Linked DNA regions of Tribolium castaneum. The protein of the gene in region 2 interacts with the protein of the main gene of each other region in a pairwise test. Links are inferred from orthologs where the notes say so. Each region holds a gene or a part of one and is shown on either strand. Other genes may lie near its edges. The genes, in order: Fnta and betaggt-I.

Region 1 (3,605 bases), about 8.3 Mb from region 2:
GTACGGTCTACGATTGGCGCAAAAGGGGATTGAGGGTGATGGCTTGGACGGTAAATACGCCGGCTGAAAAGCAATTTCTTGCACGTGTGCTTAAAATTACTTATCTTACTGATACTTTAACGGGTGAAGGGACTACACATACTCCTCCTTTGTAAATAAAAAGTGACATAATTTGGTGGTTTTTGGATGTATGGGCAGCAGCGGGGTTTAGGCTAATTATAAGGGCAGCAATTTCCGCATTTTTACAATTTTAGCCAAAAACATGATCTCGTTTTTTCTGTGGTTTAAAAAATGATTTTTTTATTCGCAAGCGGATTTTAATGATTAAAATTAACTGATTTTATTGTGTCATAATTTTGAGCGTCTGAAGGAGTTCAAGCATGTTTCCTTATGCCATATACAAATATATTATTTTGTATTTAGGTAAAGTAAATAAAATTATATCTATGAATTGTTACAATTTAAATCAACTTAATCAGCTCCTGTCCATTTCCCAATCTTCCGTCACAAAGCCAATTTTTTCTTTCTACTTTCATTGAAAAATTGGAAGAAAAAAGGACGTAACGTATGCCAAGGACAAGTGTATTTAAAATAAAACGTAAAGTGGTTTTATTCATTTATTTAACAATTACTGGCTTTCGAAAATGTGCAATGGAATAAATTGCCTTGTAATAAAAATACGTACAAAAAGATTAACATTTGCGACGTTTTAATTAAAGAAAAAACATTACATCGTTAGAAAGAGGACGTTCACGGTGGCATATTTCGCTTTAGAAAGAAATACAACGATGGAAAACACTTAAGACACATACAAAAATAAGTAAACATCACAGAAATTTTTTCATCGACTTTATTTTTAATTTTCTGCTTCGACTTGTGACTCCTCCTTCTTGCTTTTCTTCTCAATGGTTTCGGCCATAAACTGCCAATATTTCGCTCTGACGGTGTCATATTTTTCGGAAAGTTCGTTACACAAATTTTTGGCTCTTTCCAAATTGTAAAGTGGGTCTTCATTGCCTTGGGAAACTTGCTCTGAACACATATCAACAAGGAGGGCTAATAAAAATGGAGACCTGTTTCCCGAGTTGTATAATTCCTCACAAAATTCAGTGACTTTTTTGTTGCGGCTAAGGCCACACTTATCATGCAATAACACGCTAAGAAGGAAAAATTAATACAATTGCGTTTACTGGAAACGTTAGAAATACCCTCTTAAGTAATTCCAAGCGCTTTCGTTCTCTGTTACGACTTTAATATTGGACAGAGCGTAGTCAATTTCTCTATTTAAGACTTCTTCTGTAAACCCGGTTGTGCCCATAACTACGAAATATCTTTGATTCCAAGCTGAGTTGTTCCTGATATCGTCCGAAATGAGACTATCAATGTACTCAAGCTCTCCATCATACAAACTATTAAAAAATAATTACGGTTACACAAAAAAGTAAATTAACGTACTTGAACGTTTTAATTATCCACTGCCTGTGTTGCCAGGCGTGGTAATTTTTCGCATCTTTCGCTAAAACGGTCTCAGTCAAGTACTTCTCCTTTGCTGCATCTTGCAGCCACTCCACTAGCACCTTCCTGTGGTGCCAAACCTGGTAATTTTTCGGCTGATTATAAACAATAATCTTCTCAATAAAGTCCATCTCCTCGTTCAAATCCTTATTCAAAGCTTTCAAAATTTCACGCCTCAAATTCGAAAATGACCCAAAAAATCGCCCAATAAATTACAGTTACCTGTACTGCCAAACTGTATAATTCGCCGGATTTAGGGCCGCAGCGTCCTTGGTAAGGTTCAGGGCCCGTTCCGATTTCTCCCCGCTTTGCAAAACAGCTCGGAAATAATCAAAAACATCCTTAACTGAAAGTTTTTGTAGTTACAAAGTTGAGGTGTGCACTAAACTTACACTGTTCAGTGTAATCGATTGCGACTATTGGCTGATCCCCGTCATCCTGGGGCACCGGGGTCACATCTTTCCATTCCCGGCGGTCTTTGTACAGCTGGAATGTGGTATCACTCTCGTCACTGCTACTTTCACCCATTTTTTCAATCAAAAAGTCGCCCCTTTTTTACCTAACCACAAAATTCGGATTGTCAATAGTTTGACGCAGGGCTCTTTGCTATGGGCCGAGTGGGCGTGCGTCCGAAAAATACAGTCGGCCAGTTGGGTGTATAATTGGTTGCGGGGTAAAAAAATATGCGAGTAGGGTTTGTAATATGTTTATAACATTAAAAATGAGTACATAATAGATCTCCTGACTTGTCTTATTTACAAATAACAATGAGTTATTTAGATGGGTAACATTAAAATGGGCCTTAGACTACTCTATACAGATATAAACAGTGATTAGGATGAGGATTAGGAATATGCGTGGATTATCTCGACCATATTTTGGTAACAGTAAGCCTTACTACAAATAAACGTAATCTGCGCCTTGCAGCTTTTTTTGTAACGTTCGTATTTGGCACAGCTCTAATTTTTACCCATTAAACATATACAGAAATGATAAACATTAACAACATATAGAAGAACATTATCCTTATCAACTTGGTACATAGCACCATAGACGCTCCATTATAAAATAACTGTCGTAATAAAAAAGCTACATAATTTAGGTATCTTAGGTTTTTCTAACCAAAATATTGTCAATCTTTTGACTAACATACATCACACATTTAGATCCTAGTACATTGAACAGTCTTACATATATCAACAATAATATAATCTAGACTTTATATAGTGACATACAGATATGTCTAACGAATATGGCTCACTAGTAATGATATCGTCGCTTTATTTATATCGCTAAGACGTTTCCCGAATAATACCCGAATTTTGGGGAAACTTTTAAAAGCTTTATACCCAATTCCACAATTTTGTTGGACAATATAAAAATATCTACTTTAGGGTAACAAAAATTCTAAACCATTGGTGAAACGGTTGAGTAATCTTATTACAAATCAAGCGACTTTTAGCAGAATAAATAAACCGCATTAGCAGCAATTTTTTTTGGTAATTAATGCAAAAATGCGATAGGTACATTTGCTTAAATAATATTTGTTATTTATCTATGCTATATTTATCTGATGTTTAGTTTCTATATATTTAAAATATATTATTTTATCTACATCCTCTTTTATAAAAACTGTAAGAAATTTGGTATAAATGTACAAACTTACGGTGTCAAACGAACCGCAAAGCCAGCGAACCCCGAGATGAGTTATCGTTCCGGTAATTCGTCCCACACCGCAGCTTGTTGGCTTTTCATAAATCGTTTTGTTATTAATTTATCACTGTTTTAAATAATTTAATTACGTTGGTCATTGTATCGCGGTCGGCATTCGTTCATGTCCAGGAGGGCGGTGGACGAACGCCGACTGGTGAACGTCATATCGATGAATCGAAAACAGCCATGGAAGAAGAGATGTCTTCGTCTTTCCTGCAGCACTCGAGAAATTCGTCCAAAGTGACGACGCCGTCCTTATTCTTGTCCATTTTCTGCAATCGTAAAATTTCATGAGATAGGGGGCGGTTATCGGCGAATGCCCATGTAGTTTATAATATCGCAAAGGTCGGACCACTCATGTTGAATAATTCTATTGC
Region 2 (3,247 bases):
GGAAAAGTACAGGTGTCCGAAATTAGGCTACTTTATTATTCTCTCATAAATTGCCGATTTATAGCTTCTCTTCAACGATTTTTGTCTTTTTGGACCAAATAGTCATCTCAGAATTTAAAAAATTGGTGTTTAAATTCGTCTTTTTCAGCCAAATAAAGACTTTTAGCTCTTTCCACCAAAAGAACTTTCGAAAACTTACTTATTTGAAACGCTATTTTACACAATTTCTTAATTTATTGCTGAATGGATGTAATTATTTTTGTTTTTGTGTTTTTAAGACTGGAATGACACCATCTACTGATATTGATTTGATTATTTTTGCCAAAAAGTAAAATTCATAAGTTGTTTTTCCACAGGTTTTTTTGGGTTGCGTAAATTGTAATTCAGAAATAAAAACAATTAATATTTTGGGCTAGATTTTGGGTTTAAAATTTAAAAATACCACAGAGAATCACAACTATACGTTCTTCATTATTATCATTGCGTTTCTTTACTTAAAAGCTTTATTTTAAATTGAAAAATATTTGCATTTTGATTTTACAAATCCCTACATACAGGGAAGATTCTATTTTGATGAACATTTGCATTTCTATTTATAACTGTTTGCAATGCATCGACATGGATTTTTTAAAACTAAACATAGTATGATACAATTAATAGTGTTATGTGATGTTCAGTAAACTAAAAACCTCAGTGTATGATGTTCTCTTAAATTTTTGGTACAATGAATTACATCTGATCTTTTCTTACATACAGCTGAAAAAGGTGAATAAGAATAAATTACTCTTACATCTTACTCTTTCCAAAATACCAAAAAAAACAAGAATTTTCTTATAACTTTTGACTACGACAAAATAAAAAAAACTCTTTAAACTACTCTTCAACGTTCTCTTCCTCTACCTCTATGCATATACGCCATCCCTTTGATAGTTTCATAATACCTTAAAAAAAAAAGTTTTTTGGCTTAGTGCGTAGTCACTTATGTACAAGAGGTTCTATCGAGCAATTTAAACACTAAAAGAAATTTTTTCAATCTAATATTACGTATCAGAAACTTGAATCCGTCATTTCACTCCAGAATCCAAAAAATCCAATTCAAAAAAAGCCACTAAAGGCCAAAGTTGTGGTTTCAGATGCAAACAATATGGCGTCTCTATTTTGAAAGATCCAGGGCGTTATATACACGGATTTTTTGGAAGACAAACGTCCAAATCAATGCCCCTTTTACTATTTTTAATTGATATCTGAAAAATTTATCCCTCGAACAAAAAGACGGGATTTTTCAGCCCGATCGTAATCAGCCCATTTGTCCACAAAGATCGTGGAAAAATTGCACTGAAAGACACCTCCATAGCCCCTTTATAGTCTTAAGATGTCACCTTGTCATTATTTTTTTTAACCACCTACAGAGGCAAAATTTTGCGCATAACCGGCTCACGCACTCGGCCCAAAAACTTCTGTAAAACAGGTATTATGGAACTACCAAAGGGATGGCGTTTGTGCATAGCGGTAGAGGAAGAGTTCGTGGAAAAGAAAATTAAAGAATTTTCTTAAAAAAAATTTCAGTAAAAAGTTATTAACTATTTCCGGTTTATATTTGAAGTCCTCTCGTACATACGAAAAATGCTTTCTCAAATCATCTATTACATTTTTTTAAATACTGTGATCACGATCACTGATCTGAATTACAAGTGATGTTTTCGTAATTTAAATTTGCTACTCAGAGTTGCTGTTGATCTTTTCTAAAATACATGTTTCTAATCTGAATTTCAGTTGAAAAAATTGTAGTGTAAAAGATTTGCTCTTTCAATAGTAATTAGTTTAATTAGAGTGTGCTACTTTGAGTACACGTCACTTGAATTATTAAATTATTATTATTAAACAAAATATGATTGTGAATAAAATAGCCAGTCAGGGACGGAATTTGAACTGAAAATTTTTGGAATATTTGATTTTTCTCAGTTCATTGTCCTCCCTTGACAATAATAATATACCGAGTGAAAACCCATTTCATTATTTTTTTAATTTTTGAAATCGGGCCTTAAACAAAAATTCTTCAGGCCTGAAGTTGATAGTTAAGGTTGCCAAAATAAAATTTCAAATACGTCACCCGGTACAACCCTCGGGCTCCATCTAACCCCGATTCCTTTGCCCTCGGGCTAATAAAACATTTCCCACCTCGTCAGTAAAGTACCATTTACAGTCATACGACTTCGGCATCGCACAAGGCCCCCAACTGGAATCGCACAGCGGCTCAACTTTTTGTGCCGTAGCCACCCTCGCCTTAACCAAGCAATTGCACAGACTATCTCCCCCCCAGCTGGAGGGCCTGAAACGTTGGTTACTAAACCGTTTCGAGAACGGTTTCACCGGCCGCCCCAACAAGCCCTCGGACACGTGCTACTCCTTCTGGACAGGAGGGGCCCTCAAAATTTTGAACGCATATCAATTCATTGAAGAGAAGGACAACGACCAGTTCATTTTAGTAACGCAGGACCGTAACGGGGGCTTTTCAAAATGGGTCAACACGGCCCCCGACGCCATGCACACGTATCTGGGCCTCGCAGGCCTGAGTTTTATGAATGAGACTGGAATAAGCAGCGTTTTCCCCGATTTGAACATGTCGACACGAGCGCACGAACATTTGTTAAGTTTGCATAGGAAATGGAGGGGCTGTTGAGACTTATACAATACGATTTTTACAAATAAATATTTACATTACGGGTTGTTTTATTGGTTGCATAACCTTGACCCGAGCTTTGGAAGCTCCGCCAGTGGCGCTCTCTGTGGCGATTTTCCCCGCAGCTAGTTGCCGTGAAAGAGGGGCGCAGAGCAGATGTGAGTAGCGAGTGGCAGTGAGTGTGTTGTAAACAATCATTTCTTTTGAAATTCATAAATAAGCGAAATTTTATTGATTTGTATTGACATCAGCAGGACGCACTGTAACATTCCCGCTAATCGGCTCTTTTAATTTTGTAAGTGGTCTAATTATTTTATTTTTTGCGGGGGAGTCAATAATGTGTCGGCGCAAAAGTGCACATTTTTTTGATTTGTAATAATTGTTTTATATTTTTTTGTGTGTTACGAGTGAGTGGAGAATGATTCATAGGCGGCTATCATCAGCCACTCCTCAGTATAGAAATTCACACCAATTTATAGTCAAGGTTTGAATTTTATCCAAAAAAAAATTCTAATAAATTATTTATGTTGATTTTGCAAAATCGTGGCATGTATGAGTAGCATTTCC

Evidence for each region.
Region 1: the proteins of betaggt-I (region 2) and Fnta interact in binary tests that used the Homo sapiens proteins (3 or more experiments, as listed by UniProt). The link is inferred for Tribolium castaneum from reciprocal best matches to the Homo sapiens genes PGGT1B and FNTA.

The regions. Positions count from the first base shown.
Region 1 is NC_087397.1:1,730,918-1,734,522, reverse strand, and holds Fnta (protein farnesyltransferase/geranylgeranyltransferase type-1 subunit alpha), read right to left. Parts: upstream 2,123-3,605; 5' UTR 2,044-2,122; coding exon 1,908-2,043; intron 1,862-1,907; coding exon 1,738-1,861; intron 1,690-1,737; coding exon 1,456-1,689; intron 1,410-1,455; coding exon 1,209-1,409; intron 1,158-1,208; coding exon 857-1,157; 3' UTR 604-856; downstream 1-603. Other genes in the region: glycerophosphodiester phosphodiesterase 1, read left to right, coding at 1-155; Kv channel-interacting protein 1, read right to left, coding at 3,390-3,500. UniProt on the Homo sapiens protein: Essential subunit of both the farnesyltransferase and the geranylgeranyltransferase complex.
Region 2 is NC_087397.1:10,033,300-10,036,546, reverse strand, and holds the end of betaggt-I (geranylgeranyl transferase type-1 subunit beta), read left to right. Parts: intron 1-2,203; coding exon 2,204-2,680; 3' UTR 2,681-2,721; downstream 2,722-3,247. UniProt on the Homo sapiens protein: Catalyzes the transfer of a geranyl-geranyl moiety from geranyl-geranyl pyrophosphate to a cysteine at the fourth position from the C-terminus of proteins having the C-terminal sequence Cys-aliphatic-aliphatic-X.